Linked DNA regions of Saccharomyces cerevisiae S288C. Changing the gene in region 2 together with the main gene of any one other region gives a genetic interaction. Each region holds a gene or a part of one and is shown on either strand. Other genes may lie near its edges.

The links.
Region 1: mutations in BRE5 (region 2) and MCK1 together harm fitness more than expected from each alone (negative genetic interaction), as found in Saccharomyces cerevisiae (6 studies listed by BioGRID).
Region 3: mutations in BRE5 (region 2) and SEC27 together harm fitness more than expected from each alone (negative genetic interaction), as found in Saccharomyces cerevisiae (5 studies listed by BioGRID).

Annotation. Positions count from the first base shown.
Region 1 is NC_001146.8:53,580-59,199, reverse strand, and holds MCK1 (serine/threonine/tyrosine protein kinase MCK1), read left to right. Parts: upstream 1-1,626; coding exon 1,627-2,754; downstream 2,755-5,620. Other genes in the region: BXI1 (Bxi1p), read left to right, coding at 1-302; mitochondrial 37S ribosomal protein uS11m MRPS18, read right to left, coding at 392-1,045; KRI1 (Kri1p), read left to right, coding at 3,303-5,078; STB1 (Stb1p), read right to left, coding at 5,276-5,620. UniProt on the Saccharomyces cerevisiae protein: May be an autophosphorylating tyrosine kinase, a bifunctional (serine/tyrosine-specific) protein kinase, or a serine kinase that is a substrate for an associated tyrosine kinase.
Region 2 is NC_001146.8:713,914-719,919, forward strand, and holds BRE5 (Bre5p), read right to left. Parts: upstream 4,415-6,006; coding exon 2,867-4,414; downstream 1-2,866. Other genes in the region: LYS9 (saccharopine dehydrogenase (NADP+, L-glutamate-forming)), read right to left, coding at 135-1,475; CCR4-NOT core DEDD family RNase subunit POP2, read right to left, coding at 5,433-6,006. UniProt on the Saccharomyces cerevisiae protein: Has a role in de-ubiquitination. In conjunction with UBP3, cleaves ubiquitin, leading to the subsequent mono-ubiquitination of sec23.
Region 3 is NC_001139.9:247,939-255,604, forward strand, and holds SEC27 (coatomer subunit beta'), read left to right. Parts: upstream 1-1,930; coding exon 1,931-1,948; intron 1,949-2,148; coding exon 2,149-4,800; downstream 4,801-7,666. Other genes in the region: FLC3 (putative flavin adenine dinucleotide transporter), read left to right, coding at 1-186; YGL138C (uncharacterized protein), read right to left, coding at 556-1,593; MRM2 (21S rRNA (uridine2791-2'-O) methyltransferase), read right to left, coding at 4,959-5,921; 60S ribosomal protein uL1 RPL1B, read left to right, coding at 6,703-7,356. UniProt on the Saccharomyces cerevisiae protein: The coatomer is a cytosolic protein complex that binds to dilysine motifs and reversibly associates with Golgi non-clathrin-coated vesicles, which further mediate biosynthetic protein transport from the ER, via the Golgi up to the trans Golgi network.

The DNA.
Region 1 (5,620 bases), 660 kb from region 2:
ACGTGCTGAATTCCGCAACGTCAATATACTATTGGTTAAACTGGGGTCTATGGATTATGATCGGAATGGGTCTCACGGCCTTGCTTTTCGGCTGGAATACCCACTCTTCCAAGTTTAATCTGCTTTACGGCTGGCTTGGTGCCATTTTATTTACCGCGTATCTTTTCATCGATACGCAACTGATTTTTAGGAAAGTGTATCCTGATGAAGAAGTTAGATGCGCCATGATGCTTTACCTGGACATCGTCAATTTGTTTTTGTCTATTTTAAGGATTTTGGCCAACTCTAACGACGACAATTAAAAAAAGGGAAAAATCGAATTATTTACACGAATATATATATATTTCTTCTTCTTTTACATAGTTTATAATTCATACATAGTGGGAGCTGATCATAGTCTTCTCATCTTTGGTGATCTTACACCACCAAACTTCAATTTGGTGGCATCGCTGATCTTCACAACCTTTTTCACCACACTGGCCCCTTCCTTACCAACAAGAGCGGAAATAAAAGCAGCTCTGCCCTTCCCAAAGTCGTCCATCACCACTTCGATATCTTTGTTCAGCATGTTCTTTTCCTTAATCAATTCAAACATTCTACCACTGGTTTGAAATGCAGCTTCATACTCCCCTCTTGCTGCCTTCCTAAACCCTAAACAACCTGTAGATAGCGAAATCTTCACTTTCTGGGGTAAGTTCAAATAGTACAGCATTGTATCATTATACGTAAGTCCCTTATTCTTATGAAAGTTCTTGTCCTCCACAACGCTTGAAAATGTCAAATGCGTGTTATTTTTAGTAAACTTGCCATGTAGAATGTACTTAACTACTTCCTCTTTGGGCTTGTAAACCTCACTACTACCATTTGACTTTGTCAAAACTGAGTCAGAGGACGAAGGATACGAGATATTCGTGATATCCTCCTGATTTGAAATATCCTTAAATGAAAAAGGAACTCCTCTATTCGTGCCGGTAGAATTCCATCTTCTGATAGGCCTGACAAACTGCGTCCATCGGCAGCCTTTCCAAACAGGTTGTAACAGCATCACACGTAACTATAACAGTTCACACTGTCACTTTTTCTTTTCAGAAGAACCACTGCTTTCCACCTGATTTACTCTCATTTTGTCTTCCCTCTTTCCCAATTCATCGTTATTATGCCAAACAGTCACGAAGTACGAAACAAACACTCTCCGCTGCTATAGAAAGTTCCAATCTTAGGCTGAATAATGGAATACTAGTAGCTCAGTGATTATCATCATAATTGAAGCTATCATTAAAAAGCATGCAGCCATATTATGCAGGAATTATATGATCACACGTAGCTGTAGTGGCTTTCGAAAGCAGCATTCTTGCTTCCACTCAGTTCGTATGTAATGACAGTTCAGTGACCCACAAACAACACTGAAAAAAGCGACCTTCATATGCGGAAGAGGGCAGGCGTAACCTCCAAGGGAAAACGACATAGATTTCGCAAGTGAGTGCCATTGTGTCGTGTTAGTAGTGTGGGCAGGCCCGTAACGTGTTTATTGATAGGAGTTAAGCCCAAGACTACAGAGTTCTTTGCTTCATCTTTCAATTTTCTTTTTATTTTCCGAAACCCCCACTCCATCACATTCTAGTACATATGTCTACGGAAGAGCAGAATGGTGTTCCTCTGCAAAGGGGATCTGAATTCATTGCAGACGATGTAACCTCGAATAAATCGAACAACACGAGGCGGATGCTGGTGAAAGAGTACAGGAAAATCGGTAGAGGTGCCTTTGGGACTGTTGTACAAGCATATTTAACCCAGGATAAGAAAAACTGGTTGGGCCCCTTTGCAATTAAAAAAGTCCCTGCTCATACCGAGTACAAGTCCAGGGAATTACAGATTCTGAGGATTGCCGACCATCCAAATATCGTTAAATTGCAGTATTTCTTTACTCATTTGTCCCCGCAAGATAATAAAGTTTATCAACACCTTGCCATGGAATGCTTACCAGAAACTCTACAAATCGAGATTAATCGTTATGTGACAAACAAGCTAGAAATGCCATTAAAACATATCAGGCTATACACTTATCAGATTGCCCGCGGGATGCTTTATTTACACGGTCTTGGCGTTTGTCATCGTGATATCAAACCATCCAATGTTCTTGTAGACCCGGAAACCGGTGTCTTGAAAATCTGCGATTTTGGGTCTGCCAAAAAATTGGAACATAACCAGCCTTCAATTAGTTACATCTGTTCAAGATTTTATAGAGCGCCTGAATTGATCATTGGTTGTACCCAATATACCACCCAGATCGATATATGGGGGCTTGGTTGTGTCATGGGCGAGATGCTTATCGGCAAAGCCATATTTCAAGGTCAAGAACCCCTTCTACAGCTAAGGGAAATTGCTAAATTGTTAGGTCCTCCCGATAAAAGATTCATTTTCTTTTCGAATCCGGCCTACGATGGCCCTCTATTTTCCAAACCACTGTTCTCGGGCTCTTCGCAACAGAGGTTTGAGAAGTATTTTGGCCATTCCGGTCCAGATGGTATCGATCTTTTGATGAAAATATTGGTCTACGAACCACAACAAAGACTGTCTCCAAGAAGAATCCTTGCCCATCAGTTCTTTAATGAATTAAGGAATGATGACACTTTCTTACCAAGAGGTTTCACTGAACCAATCAAGCTACCAAATTTGTTTGATTTTAATGATTTTGAGTTACAAATTCTGGGTGAATTTGCTGATAAAATTAAACCTACGAAAGTTGCTGAATAATAATTTTCTATTAATTTGTTCTCTTTCCCCTCGGAAAATTTAATGAACAAAATACTATGATTTTTTTCACCTTTGATCCGCTGTTTATATTTCACTTGGAAAAGAAAAAAAATTTTTTGGAATAAAATATATTCAAATTTCCATTTGATATTATCATACACTTCTTTTATCCAGTCACTCCTTCAATTTCTTCTTTATTTTTTATTTTATGTTCCTAATTTTTTTTTATCTCTTTCCTATTTCCTGTTCTTTTATTAATCTGAAATATTATTATTACTTTAGTGTTAGTTTATAATTTTAATTAGGCCTACGTGGCTTGTAATAAATTGCCTCGCATGTTATCATTACTTATATAAAAGTATTATTGAAATACCGTCGTTATTTTTTGATATTTATGTGAGAAAAAAGTATTACCCGGAGGAGCCGCAAGGTCATCGGTTAAAATTTTTCAAATATATCAATCTCATCTCATCTAGTTAACAGAACCATTTCTTCAGAAAGCAAAATGCTCATAGTTTTCAACAACAGTGTGATATACCCTAAATTCAATGCCAAGAAAAAAGTCTGCCGCTAAAAGAGCTAGAGAACAAGCAAAAAAAGAAGCGGCCGTACCTGCAACGGATACTGCTACCATAAAAACTTCTGAAACCTCTGCGACGACAGTTAAGCCTGCAATCGAAGCAAGCAAATCGTACGTTCCTAGTGAAGATGAGGAAGAAGACGAAGAGGAAGAAGAGGAGGAAGATGATTACGGTGAATTGATTACTGATGAAGTGGAAAACGGTATTAATCAAGTGCTAGATGCCATCAAAAACAATAAGACGGACAAACTACTAGATCCTAAAGTCAAATTCTTCGAGGATCCCGAATCTGCTGCTGCCAAACTGGCCAATCGTGAGGGGAAGCATAAACCTATTTACCTAAAAGATTATCACCGTATGAACATACTTTCTGGTGATGCCTTAAAGGAGGATGACGAAGAATACGAACATGCAACTGTTGACGGAAAGCAATCTTTCGTCTCGCAACAACGTGAAGAGAAAACTCAGCTTTTAAATGAAATCAAGAGTGCCTTTAGCGATGAAGAAAATGAAGAGTCTAGCGGAGATGAAGACGATGGGTTTTTGAAGAAAAAGGAACCTTCTACGAAGAAGGAAGGAAAAAATTTACCGGATCCAACCGTAAATGAAGAAAATTTCTTGGAAGAATTTGTGAATCAACAGGCCTGGATTCCTAAGAAGGGGGACAAGGTGATTTCTCTTGACCTCAACAATAATGAAGAGGACGATGAAGAATTTGAAGATGCTGCAGAAAAATTTGAGAATGCCTACAATTTTAGGTACGAGGACCCAAACGCAGCTGAAATTATATCTTATGCACGTAGTCAAGCTACACTAAGAAGATCCGATGACTCTTCACGCAGAAGAAAAAGAGAGGAAAAAAGAAAAATTAAAGAGCAAATAAAAGCAGAGAAGGAGACAGCTCTTCAGAAAAAGAAGACTAAAAAATTGAATAAATTGACTGACATTTTAGAGCAACTAACAAAGGAATATGGTGCTGAAATTAATGCCGACATGGTGAAAAAAATCACTGACACCCTATTGAAGAACGATTTCAAAGAAGAAGAGTGGGATAACGTGGTAGCTGAATTATTTAATGAAGAATTTTATCAACAAGAGGGAAAGCCTACCTGGAACGAGGATGACGAAATAATGGGTGACTTTTATGCAGACGCCGATGGTGATGACCAAACAGAAGAAGGTGAAGTGGAAAAAGAACAAAAAGAAGAAGACGAGGAAGAAGGTCCAAAAAGAAAGAAGAGCAAGAAAGAAGAGAAACTGCAAAAGAAGAAAGAAAAGAGAAAGGTAAATGAATTAGTGGAAAATGCTTTGGAACAAAACAAACTAGCACTAATAGAGGAGGTTGAAAAAGAAGAAGAAGAAAGAAAGAGTAGAAGCCGTACAAAAGAGGAGCAAGATTTGAAGTTTCGTTACCGTGAAGTTTCTCCTGAGAGTTTCGGTTTGACCGCAAGAGAGATTTTCGCCGCCGATGATACTGATTTAAATGAATTTATTGGTTTGAAGAAATTTGCACCTTATCGTTCCAAGGAACTAAGAGCGAAGGATAAAAGGAAAGTGATGAAGGCAAGAAGATTAAGAGAGTGGAGGAAGAAAACTTTTAAGAACGAAAATGGGTTAGCTCCAGTCGAAGCAGAGGCAGGGGAGAAGGATGAGGACACCATACTGATACCTGTAGAGAAAGCCTCTAAAAGCAAACACAAGAGGGGGCACAGTCATAAACATAAAGGCCACCAGAAAAAGTAAACTAGGTGAAATATCGGCCCTGTATATTACGATACATAAGCTTACATAGTGATAATCTATCTCCGAATTTCCCTAAAAAAGAATGTCATTTTACGTATTAATATGTAATTTTATAATTTCAACATTTGTCATTTTTGTCCCTTTGAGTGGTCCATTTCAGGAAGTATGGAATCATCAACTGATATGGCCGTCAACGATCAATCAGTGAGTTTGTCATCAATGGACTCCCCTTCGCCTATACGGTCGGTGCCGGGTCCTACAATGAGCGGGATCCCGTTTGCGTTCATATCTAGAAAATTGTTTGTGGTGTGGCTTGATATAGCAGCTGTTGCTATCGCAGAAGTGTTGGAAGATGATCCGGGCACCATCGCTGGAACAGAAGGAATTGAAGCTGACGTGTTTGACGCTCCCTGCTGGGCGGGGACCCTTGGTGAAGGGCTGAAAAGATTATGCAGATAGTCTCCCATGTTGAAGTTGGGCGTCCTGAGTAAGTTAAAATTGGTACCGTTCAATTCTCTTGAAGGCGTGGTAGGTACGTTACT
Region 2 (6,006 bases):
TAGTCCATTTTGTCCCTCTTTCCGGTTTTTTTTTTTTTACGTTTCCTTATGAAAGTATAAGTAATACTAAAGAAAGATTTATAAAGTGCCGTTACTGTTACGTATGATAAACCTTTTGATACATTTCTTCTTATTTAAGCCACTGTCTTTTCCTTTAGATAGATGCCGTACTTGTCCTTTAGTTCTTTCATGATTGGATCATTAATCTCTGGTGAGTATGGCGCTAGTAAGCCTGGTCCCTTGATTGTACCATCTAAGACGAATTTCGTTGCAATGGCAACTGGATAACCAACAGTAGCGGCCATAGAACTGTAACCACCAACCTTACCATAGTCAACTAAAGTGGATGTTCTTGTTTCGGTAGTTCCATCAGCCCATTCAATACCGAATTTGTGTTGTAGTACAACCATATCTCTTTCATTGTCTTCATATTGCATTAGTTCTTCTAAACGTGCACATAGAGTGTCTAAAGCATTACCTCTTGGTGTGATCTTTGCGTCAGAGAACAAGCCTAACCAAGCAAACCCGGAAAGGATTCTTTCTCTATCTTCATCATCTTTCCAAGTAGCCTTTGAGTCAATGGAAGCAATCAAATCTTCTTTAGAAGTAGACTTGGCACCTAAATATTGTTTTAGTGCTTCGTTCCAGGCAATTGGCTTGCTGAAGATTTCGTTAGCATCATCCTTCAACATACCCATGTCAACTAAAGCCTTAACAAATTCTGGGAAACCTTGATATCTCAAAGTACCTCTAATGACCGTTTCGGCTTCTGGAATATGATAAAGATCCTTGAAAAGGGTAGAGTCTCTATTTGGGTAGCAAACGAATGCATAACCTGGGTAGATGAAGTAAGGCTTAGCAGTGGCCATTAAGTCTTCGGAAGAAACAGTTTCAATCTTTCCGTCTTTCCAGTATTTAGCAGAGTTTCTTAAAGCCAGTAGCACACCTCTGGAGGACCATGAAAATTTGTATCCTAATGGATTATCAGAGTCTTCAGGAGCTGGTAAACCACCACAGTATGACAAGAATGACTTTAGCTTACCACCAGCTCTGTGAACTTCATCAATAGTCTTGACCGCATACAAGTGGTCGATACCTGGATCCAACCCAATTTCGTTCATAACTGTAATACCTGCCTTTACGATTTCTGGTTCCAATTCTCTTAAGGCAGGTGAGATGTAAGAGGAAGTGACGACATCGGTCTTTGTTCTGATGGCGCTCTTTACCACATTTGGATGGAAGGTGTATGGAATCAAAGAGATGACAACATCGTTATCAGCCAGAACTTTGTCTAAGGCACTGTCATCGGTAACATCCAATGAAATAGCCTTGGATCCAGAGGGCTTGGCCAATGCTTGCGCATTGGCTAATGTTCTACATGCGACAGTGACATTGATGTCATCATTAGCAGCCAATGTGTCGATAACAGGTTGTGCAACAAAACCAGATCCTAGCAACAAAACGTTCTTTCCCATATTAAAATATATAATACGTTAATATAACTCAATTGTCCTGATAAGTTTTCCCTACTGCCTAAGGATCCTTCCCATGTAATTTTACCAGGACCCTACGGTTTATATACCATTAAGCCAAATTCTGTGCTACTTTCTATCATCTATTGCTGATAATTCCATTGGAAATTCTCAATACCCTTTATTGACATCTTTATTTTTCACTACAAAGCGAATTTTTCCAACGGAATTTCGATTCCAGAGTATGAGTAATTCTTTTCACTACTAAACGCATTGCTTCGTGGTCAGTAGTAACCGCAATCACACTCTTCACTTCTGTTGTGGTGAATATCAAAAGAAACAAGAGATCATCCACAATTTCCTCAGCTTGACTTGTCTGCAGTTGCGATTAAAATTTGACTTTTGCTCCACCGCTCTCTACAGGTATTATATTTGGAAATCATCAAATGATGGGAATCCCCTACGTGGCACTTAGATACGATACATAAGACTCTTGCATATGTAGCTACCAACGTGGGAAAACCTTTCAAGTAACAGTTTGTTTGCTCTTAGCAACTTCTAGCCCTAATGAAAAAAAATGAAAAATAATTGCCAGCTTTTCCCCGCGACTTTTCAAAATCGGTATAAAAGCAAGTCGAAAATCAGTCAAAAAACTTTTCTCTCTTGATTGCTTATTGCAATCTCACTTGTTTTTTCCTTGATTTTACTTTCAATTTAGTTTACAATATCATGGGACTTTATCTCCATGACTATGCCATTTCTAGGTAGCCTATGGTAAACGAATCCCGTAGATTATTCACACGTTTGTTGTCTTTGTTGACAACAACACAGAGTAAGAAAAAGCAAAAGATTTATCTCTTTTGTCCATCTTTTTTTTATTTTGAAGGCGTGTAACATTTATTGGTTACAACATGGCTTGTTTTCTTGTCCCTAACAATCGCCAGGAGAATTTTTTTTGAAAATTTTCTTCTATTTTAATTATGTACATAAATGTCGTCAGTTAACTACAAATGAGCTATCTATCAATATGCTTTTTTTTTTTTTTAATTACTGCTCAAGCTTGCTATCCCCTTCTACCTCCGTTTCCTAGCACAGAAGAAAGTGCCCATATATCATTATATTCAATTTTTAACTTGTCTCTTTTTCTTTTCTGCCTCGGTTTCGCGCATCTACTCTACGCTATATTTTCATAATCATCTCATTTAAATGGCATTCATTCCCTTCCGCGCCAGTATATTAGTTACTAATCATACAGTTTCTTGTTTCAATTTTTTAGATTTTAATTAGCGGTTTTTTTTTGGTTTTTCTTAAGATTGGTTTTATGATTTTTTTTTTTCTTTTTCAAATTTTTTTATTATTTTTTCAATTTTTCTTTTTAAAAGGCTTGTGGTTGACTAGTCCTTTCTTTTTAGGGGTTGCTTTCTATGAGAACGTGTTCCATTAGTAAATATGCCAGGAGGATTATTGCTCGTGGGCTTCTTTACTGTTTTTCTTTCTAAGCATACTTCAATACCATCAATTGACTTTTTCTTCTTCTCTAAAGCATCGATTTGGCTCTTTTGAGTTTCAAAGTCGACGACGGCAAAATTGTCTGCAGCTGTTATCCTCATAACTTTACCGAATTCTTTTTCTAAGGCACTTCTCAATTTTTCTTCTCTTAAGCCATTTGTACCTCTAATGTAGATTGGATAAAAGCCGTCCTTGTTAACGGTGCTGAATACTGGTTTTTTCTTATTTTTGCTGTTAGCACTAGCGTTGTCCCTCCGATTCCCCATTTCAAATTTTCTTTCAGTCGGTTTCTTGGGTAGTGTTTCAGGTCTGATGTATTCAACCGTGGTATTATTTTTGCTAATTCTGTCGGAGTTTTCATTCATCAACTTTGAGGCCCATGTCATCTTTGGTGGATTCGCAACGGGCTCTGGAGAAGATGAAGGTGTTGAAGCGTTATTGCCGGATTCTTTGGCGTCGGAAACCTGTGGCTCTATTGGTTTAATTTCAGTTTCAGCTTCCTTTACGCCCCCAGGTACCGGTTTTTCATCACTAACTTCTTTACCGTTGGGCAAAGAAGAGTTATTAACAGCATTTATGGCCTCAACAGAGCCTTCCTTTGTCTTGATTGGTGCAGCTTTCTTTTCGGCTTTGTGAGATTTTTCATTTAGTTTAGTAACGTTTCCTAACTCTTCTGTAGAGACCTCATCTTGTTTGTGGTTGCCCTTAGTACTAGATGGTACCGTTTCGGTGTGAATCTTGGACTCTTTAGTGACGGGTATAGCCCGAGGTTGACTATGATCGACAATTGGTTTTTCCTGAGTTGACGATTCAGTTGGCGCAGTTGTGTCTTTGACCGTTTCCTTTTTGGCCTTTGGTTTCGATATTTCTGGTGATTTTTCTTTTTCTTTTTCTTTTTCAACTCCGGACTCATGCCTTATTTTATCTTCTTCAACTGCACTGACAGAGTTCTCCTCGTTAGATTGTGACAAAGAAGCATCTGTTAAGACATAAGGCTTGAATGAATTGGAAATAAATCTGATTATATCATTGGTAATGTCAAACGTAGACCCATTGCTGGATGGTAGCAGGATAAATGTTTGACAAAACTTATAGACCGGAGTTCCTGTCCAAAACATTTCACCCGTGGCCATGATCAGAATGCTTTTGTGCAAGTGCCCAGTGTACTGGAAATCTATAGTATCTAATTTTAGTTTCAAGCTCCTAACTTTGGCATCATTTCTAGAAAAAAACTTATTAATGTTTTCACGTCCAGTAACTTTCACCGTTGGAAGAACGTCATCTTTTTCGTTTGTTGACTTGGACTGATAATTAGTATGCGTCAACTCGGCTGTACTTGCATAAAAATATGCCAATTTGGAAGGGTCGGTCCTCATTCTTTCGTAGTAGTTTTGCAAAAAGGCAAAACATATGTCTTGAACGGTAACACCCATTTTCTTTTATTTGATACTTCTATTCGAGGGTATGACTTCAAATGCAACTATTAGTGACAAGGTAATAAAACTATAACACACTTGAAAAAAAAAATGCGATGGTTTTGTAGTATTCTTCGTGATCTTTTTCTCTTTAAAAATCAACGAAAAATAAAGATGTATCAGTAAAATAAGTTTTCAACAGATTCTCTGTAAAATGATTGACTAATTGAATATTTGAAAGAAAATGAGGTTTGAACGAAAATAATAAAACAAAAAAAAAAATGTAATTAAATGGGCAAAAATGAATTAAAATGTAGGGAAAAAACACAACTTGAAGAATTAAACAGAGTAAAAAAACGAAAGCTTGTGGTAGGTGATATAAATAAATTAAAGCAATATCTTACTGTTTATTCTTCCTCTAGAATAGTTTTGGTACTAACGGTAACTAGAAAACTGAAGAAGTTTTTCGTATTCTTCTAATACTCAAGCAAAATATCCTATGTCAAGTACTACCACTTGTACAGTCTTCGTTTTGTACAAATTAGGTATGAATTGCTCTTTTTTGAAACAGTAATGGGATAAAAAACAAATGACTTAGTTTAACGTCCGCCGGTTGCGATAGAACTTTTAACCGTAACAATAGTAACAGTGGACAGGAAAAAAAAACGGTACGAAAAGGTAATATTGCCTAATCTGAAATAATGTAGTCACTCTAGAACTATTAATAAAGAAGCTTGTACTTCCTCTTATCCCTGGAATGGACGGTTATGCTGCTTGCAATATGTCATTCTTTCATTAATCGCCACCTGATGTTTTTCGCTGCTTTGGACGAAAAAATTTCCAAGAAAAAATAAATGGTTAAACAAACTACAGCGCACGTGACCGATAACTATACGGGAATAACGCATCAATCTCCTGTGGAAGAGTGCTTATTGCATCGAAGAACCAATCTGTATTACTACATGTCCAATCATAAGCTGATGTTGCTTTTAAACTTTTTTTTTTAAAATTGTGTATACATATAGTACATAAATGATCATTGGTCCCCATCAATACCGTATATGACACCTTGGTACTTGGCGAAATCCGTACCGTTTGGGAACTTATGCATAGACAGCTTGCTCAATTGGCAGAAGGATAGAAGCATCAATAGACTCTGGCCGCCTGTAGTAGTAAATATAGAGAATCTTGGTAGCCCTAACTCATCGGCAAGTGTGGTTAGTGAATATTGCTGCTGCTGTTGCTGTTGTGAAGATTGTTGCAATTGAGGGTTCTTGAACTCCTGGATTATTTTATACACCAGGTTTAAGTCGTAGAAATTGGGCATGTATTGATGGACCCACCACTCGAAATCCTCCTTGTTGTTGGGCATGGAGTCATTCATTAGAATGTTGATCAGGAAACCTAGATCATATGCCGCATGGTATGTGATCCAAGTAACAGAATCATCCATCATTAAACCAGAGTCCATTAGAAGCTGCGAAAATTCAAATACATCGATGCCTAAATTTTCGTGTTTTTCGAAGTTGATACCTGATTTTCTGAGTAATTCTAACGATTCTGTGGACATGATTTCCTTCTTTGGGTCAAATTCAAAATTGAACTGCCAC
Region 3 (7,666 bases), on a different chromosome or scaffold from region 2:
GAAGATACAAGTTCAAATACCGATCCATTTCACGACTCCACTGAAGGAGACCTTTTAGATACCTCAAGTTCGGACGGAGGATTTAGGTCGCAAAACTATGTTCGAGATGACAGCATAAATAGTTTGGGAAACAATAAACAACCACTGAGGAAACCCCCTGGATTCTTCGATGAAGGATTTATGTGAGTCTTTACGATATACAAAAGTTCTGCTCCTATCATAAAAATTTTTAATTTTACAGGTTTTTCTCATTCTCCTTCTAACCTTCTAAATTCTGTTTTTGTCAGAAGTTTCCCAAGTTTTCTTTTTCATTAATAACGTTAAAACACTTTGTACCAGTTTGCTTAATATGAATTTTTTTAAAATAGATAGCTTTTGTTATCTTTGTTTCTATGTTGTAATATCCCAGTTTGTCATATTTTTAATACTCCTCGTGTAACAACAAATTAAAAAAAAATAAATACTTAAATTAATCAAGTTAAATAAACTAATCGAATCAAACAAACAATTTATTATAAAATTATGTTTTTTCATGAATAGGAATGTGTAAGTTGTTCAGTTCTTAAGAGGTATCTTATTTTTTAACATCTTTGAGATCTTCCTCCTCAAATATTTCCTTCTTGTAATATTTCCACTATTAGAGTTTCTATTATGTGCGGCTATCGCTCTTATTAGTGCATCATGAGGCCTTTCTATGTTTTGCGCAATCCGATTTATTGTACGGTCTAGTTTTTCATGAAAATTCGGGACATTTTCATTCCCAGAGCTATCATATTGCTCCATAGGATTTATTTCGTTTATCCAAGACATTTCTTTGTTTTTAAACTTTCTTAAGTTTTTATAGCTCTTCCAAAACTCCGAAGTTAAGGATTTATATTCCAATTCGTTTGATATGTTCTTATCTGAATGGATGAGCATCTCATATTTGGACATAGGAATACTTAACGAATGTAGATAAGGTACCACCTTGGTGATTCTTCCTTTAATTGACCAAGATATTTTGTAATCTCTAATATCATCAGAAATAATAGGCGTTAATGGAATAGTTTCAAAATTGTTCTGAGTGGGGGGATGCGTCTTTGAAGAATTGCAAACAAATACGAATCCAACAAATTTATTAGGAAAGTAAAGGGTTACATTACGCTGTGTATATTTCTGCACCCTTGCAAACTTGAAACATACTGAGCTGTTTTGGGAGATAGTATCATCCTCCTGGGCTGGAATGCATAGTGGTTCTGCCCAATCTAAATCCTTTTGAAAGGGTAGAATATGATTCCAAATTGGCTTTCCTCCTTTACAAAAGGTCACTTGAAGAAAATTATTGATTTGCAAGGGCGCTACCTGGTATTCATATTGTTTTTCAATTACAAAGCCTGTGTACAAAGTACTTTGTTTTTTGTATTGTTCGTACTCCTGCTTCAAGTTCTGTAACTTGTCACCTTTAAGAACATTTAAGAAGAACTCTGTCTGGAAATTTTGGTCTTCGAACTTACACACATCATGTCCAGGAAATGAACTTTTTCCTTGAACGAAAGTGCTCTTAAATAAGGTGTACGTTATAAAAAAGAAGAAAAATTCTAAAAAGTTGTACATTCATCCGAGGAGCACTTTGGATATTATAATCTATTTTTAGTTTTGTTGCTTTGTATTGAGCTGTATAAAAATCATTAGATCCACATTACTAATTATTGAATATGGACAATAATATCAAATATATTATTATCAAATTGATTATTTTGTGACGCGGCGTCAAATTTTAATCGCGTCTGACGAATGAGCGGGTAATAAACTGTCTTTTTTTCATGAATGAATCGAGCTGGCATTAGGAACATGTCGTGTAAGATTTGGGAGTAAATAACAGAAAGCTGCAATAAATGGTAGCTTGTAATGGTGAATTAAGACACCCAATCGAAACAATTATACGGACACGATGAAGTTGGATATAAAGGTATGTTACCAGAGCGCGTTTTGCCAATGCAATTGCGAACAAGCTCCGACAACTCCTATGATTAGGAAATGATCTCGTTCGCGAAGAATACAAAGCCTGCAAAAAGCAAACATTAAGATTAGTTACTAACAGGAAGATTTTTGAAATAAATGCATTTGCTCTTGGCATTTCCTTTATTTGACACTGTACATTTATGATAGAAAACTTTTAGTAATAGATCCGATCGAGTTAAAGGTATCGATTTCCATCCTACTGAGCCATGGGTTTTGACTACCTTGTACTCTGGTCGTGTTGAGCTTTGGAATTACGAAACACAAGTTGAAGTTAGATCCATCCAAGTTACGGAAACTCCTGTTAGAGCAGGTAAATTCATTGCAAGAAAGAATTGGATAATTGTTGGGAGTGATGATTTCAGGATCAGAGTCTTCAACTACAATACAGGTGAAAAAGTTGTTGATTTCGAAGCTCATCCAGACTATATCCGTTCCATTGCTGTACATCCAACAAAGCCTTATGTTTTATCCGGCAGTGATGATTTGACAGTCAAACTATGGAATTGGGAAAATAACTGGGCCTTAGAACAAACTTTTGAAGGTCACGAACACTTTGTCATGTGCGTCGCATTCAATCCAAAGGATCCTAGTACGTTTGCATCTGGGTGTTTGGACCGAACCGTTAAAGTTTGGTCATTGGGACAATCGACACCAAATTTCACGTTAACCACAGGACAAGAAAGAGGTGTGAATTATGTTGATTATTACCCGCTACCTGACAAGCCTTATATGATTACTGCGTCGGACGACTTAACCATCAAAATTTGGGATTACCAAACGAAGTCATGTGTAGCCACTCTAGAAGGTCACATGTCCAATGTTTCTTTTGCTGTTTTCCATCCAACTTTACCCATTATAATTTCTGGTTCCGAAGATGGCACTTTAAAGATATGGAATTCTTCCACTTACAAGGTAGAAAAGACTTTAAACGTTGGTTTAGAAAGAAGTTGGTGTATCGCTACCCATCCAACAGGACGTAAAAACTACATTGCATCCGGGTTTGATAATGGGTTTACCGTACTTTCCTTGGGAAATGATGAACCAACTTTATCACTTGACCCTGTCGGTAAGCTAGTATGGTCAGGTGGCAAAAATGCCGCAGCTTCAGACATTTTCACTGCCGTCATAAGAGGTAACGAAGAAGTTGAACAAGATGAACCATTATCTTTACAAACTAAGGAGCTGGGTTCCGTTGATGTTTTCCCTCAATCTTTAGCCCATTCTCCAAATGGTAGGTTTGTTACAGTTGTTGGGGATGGTGAATACGTTATTTATACGGCGTTGGCTTGGAGAAACAAAGCCTTCGGTAAATGTCAAGACTTTGTTTGGGGCCCCGACTCCAATAGTTATGCTTTAATTGATGAAACTGGGCAAATTAAATACTACAAAAACTTTAAAGAAGTCACATCATGGTCTGTCCCAATGCATTCTGCTATTGATAGATTATTTTCAGGTGCCTTGTTGGGTGTGAAGTCTGATGGCTTCGTCTATTTCTTCGATTGGGACAACGGTACGCTAGTTAGAAGAATTGATGTTAATGCTAAGGATGTCATTTGGTCCGATAACGGTGAGCTGGTGATGATTGTCAACACCAATAGTAATGGTGATGAAGCAAGTGGTTACACATTATTATTCAACAAGGATGCTTACCTTGAAGCAGCAAATAATGGCAATATCGACGATTCAGAAGGTGTTGATGAGGCTTTTGACGTATTGTATGAACTAAGTGAATCCATTACATCAGGCAAATGGGTTGGTGATGTCTTTATCTTTACCACAGCAACTAACAGGCTGAACTACTTCGTAGGTGGAAAGACTTATAATTTAGCCCATTACACAAAGGAAATGTATCTATTGGGCTATCTAGCACGTGATAATAAAGTATATTTAGCTGACAGAGAGGTCCATGTTTATGGTTACGAAATATCTCTAGAGGTGCTGGAGTTCCAAACATTGACTTTAAGAGGGGAAATTGAAGAAGCCATTGAAAATGTACTCCCAAATGTTGAGGGTAAGGACTCTTTAACAAAAATTGCTAGATTTCTGGAAGGTCAAGAGTATTATGAAGAAGCACTGAATATTTCCCCTGATCAAGATCAAAAATTTGAGCTAGCCTTAAAAGTCGGCCAACTTACGCTTGCTCGCGATTTGTTGACAGATGAAAGCGCCGAAATGAAATGGAGAGCCTTGGGTGATGCTTCCTTACAAAGGTTCAATTTTAAACTTGCTGTTGAAGCTTTCACAAATGCACATGATCTAGAATCTTTATTTCTATTGCACTCATCTTTTAATAACAAGGAGGGGTTGGTCACTTTAGCTAAAGATGCTGAAAGGGCCGGTAAATTCAATTTGGCTTTTAATGCATATTGGATCGCTGGCGATATACAAGGCGCTAAAGATCTTTTAATCAAGTCTCAAAGGTTTTCCGAAGCCGCTTTCCTTGGATCAACATACGGTTTAGGAGATGATGCAGTCAACGATATTGTTACAAAATGGAAGGAAAATTTGATACTCAACGGTAAGAATACTGTATCAGAAAGAGTTTGTGGGGCCGAAGGTTTACCAGGCTCTTCGAGTTCAGGAGATGCCCAACCACTCATTGACTTAGATTCCACTCCAGCCCCAGAACAAGCTGACGAAAACAAAGAAGCTGAAGTTGAGGACAGCGAGTTTAAAGAATCCAACTCAGAGGCAGTTGAAGCCGAAAAAAAAGAAGAGGAAGCTCCCCAGCAACAACAATCAGAACAACAGCCGGAGCAAGGAGAGGCAGTGCCGGAGCCTGTGGAAGAAGAGAGTTAACCACCTCATAGAAAGACAAATAAAGAACTAATCAACGAATGAGAAAACATCTTTAATGGATGGTAAACATATATATATACAGATGTACACTTTTTATTTTTATTGCGATAGGTGTGAAAATGAACGTGACTTGAAACTTTGCGCGCAAACAAATCATATTATGAATTACTAAACACGTCCAGTTTATCTACATTTCTTTTCTTCTTTAATCCGATATAATAGGTCTCCTTTGATTCGTCTCTAGAAGCGTCAGGCTTGAACTTATGAACGTTAGTGAAAACTGCCTGCATTCTTTTTTTAAATAGGTTTTCTTCTTCGCCGGTGTATAGTTTACAAACAAACGAACCTAATGGCCGTAATAAATCTATAGCCGTAACTAAGGCTGCGTCACATAAATCAATAGATTGGTAATGGTCTCTTATACTGACACCAGATGTATTAGCCATCCTAAAATAAGCTTGATTAGTAATGTTGTTCCAAAAACCGGTTGTTTGGGGCCAGGGTTCATACATATCACTTATAATCACATCAACTGGGAATTTTTCTCGTTCTATTAGGGTACTATTCGTATTCGGAGTTTCATAAATGTCATCAGAGGTGAAAATTTCACGGTACAATTCAGTATCTTTCACATGGGTTAGCTCCTCCTCGAGCATGTTCTGGAAATAGCCATGGTCCTTATGCAAATCATCGTGTCTGTTCAATTGGAAATGCTTAGAAAAAAAGAGCCGTATAAGATCATGAGTTCTTTTGGCCAATATATTAGCTTGAATAGAGTTCACACCATGCGGAGGTTCACAAGGGAGAATGTCAACGCCCAGTATCATTGAATTAGGTGAACTTCTTTGCCGTGCTACTTGGGACCAAGCCCCAGGGGCATACCCAAGATCTAGAATTCTCTGATCGGTCCTGTTTTTGCTAAAAAGCCGATATTTATCATCAATCTGCATAAGCTTGAATGCGGCTCTAGACCTCAGATTTTGGACCTTGGCCTCTTTTGTGTAGGGATCCTTCAGTTGTCTATTCAGCCATCTGTTTTGTGAGTTAGAATTATACCGTACATGTATTCGACCTAAAGAAGACGATATTATACTCCTGATACGATTGTACACTAAAATCATGCTGTAATTTTCCCGTCAGTATGTGTAGTCATTACTTCAAACCTCGGATAAGCCCATCTTGATGGCTACGACTTCCATCTATATCAGAGGCTGACATTTTTCTCTCATTGACGGAGACGCCCTTTAACCGGACCTGATCATTTTTAAAAGAACGCCAGTAAAAGAGATCTTACAAATACCAGAGAAACGGTATTGAACCTTCTTCTTTGATTAGAACAAATTACTTGATCTTCTTTTTTAAAAAAGAACTGAAAAATCAAAAACGATACATGAAGATGGTATGTAAGTTAGCTAAATAACTTGCTTAATTTCAAGAAAGGGGACTGTAAAAAATTCAGTTTACTCTACCATTATCTCCATTAACATATCAACTTTTAGATCGCAATGAAGAAGACTGCGTTCATAAACCTTACCTCATAAGGCCAAACAGCTATCAGCTTTTGGCAAAAGTTGAATACGGACATTTTTGAACCCATACATCTTTCAATATGCACGGGTGCAACCTCAAATATTTAAAGTTTTTTTTTCCTGAAACTTTTTTTTCGCACACAATAATGCCATAGACATCTTTTGGCCTCAGATTGGAAAGTCCGAGGAAGAAAGACGCAATCAATGGGAAGAGTGTTGTATTTGGATTAAGATATGTAAGTACATCTTCGCAGCACTTCTTGAGCATTACGTTATTTGGTAACCTCTTGAAGTTTCAGGAAAGACTCCATAGAACTAGTCGCAAGCCTCACGGACCACCAAATACTTTGGAAGACTAATTACATATCATAAAATGTCTAAGATCACCTCTTCTCAAGTCAGAGAACACGTCAAGGAATTGTTGAAGTATTCCAACGAAACCAAGAAGAGAAACTTCTTGGAAACCGTCGAACTACAAGTCGGTTTGAAGAACTATGACCCTCAAAGAGACAAGCGTTTCTCTGGTTCTTTGAAGTTGCCAAACTGTCCAAGACCAAACATGTCCATCTGTATCTTCGGTGATGCTTTCGATGTTGACAGAGCTAAGTCTTGCGGTGTTGACGCTATGTCCGTCGATGACTTGAAGAAGTTGAACAAGAACAAGAAGTTAATCAAGAAGTTGTCTAAGAAGTACAACGCTTTCATTGCTTCCGAAGTTTTGATCAAGCAAGTTCCAAGACTATTGGGTCCTCAATTGTCCAAGGCTGGTAAGTTCCCAACCCCAGTTTCTCACAACGATGACTTGTACGGTAAGGTCACTGATGTCAGATCTACCATCAAGTTCCAATTGAAGAAGGTCTTGTGTTTGGCTGTTGCCGTTGGTAACGTTGAAATGGAAGAAGACGTTTTGGTTAACCAAATCTTGATGTCTGTTAACTTCTTTGTTTCTTTGTTGAAGAAGAACTGGCAAAATGTTGGTTCCTTGGTTGTTAAGTCCTCCATGGGTCCAGCTTTCAGATTGTACTAATCACTTCCGAGCGATTAATACATATCTCCATCTTTTTAAATACCTTTTTTAATACGTATGACTCTAAGTAGTAAAAGTATTATGCATAGTTTTAGCCAGATATTTTTGGGCCCGGAATATATCTTTTCGGGAAGCTCGGAGTATATTGCACCGATCCGATTCTTACTCCATATCATGCCATTTTTCTTTCCTTTCTCAGCGATGTTTTGTAGGAAATCACTTAGAACTTGCCTTACTTTAAAAGCATGTTGAGTGAATTTCACAGATCGATATGCTTTGGTGTTCAATCAGTTCAACCATACCTGCTATT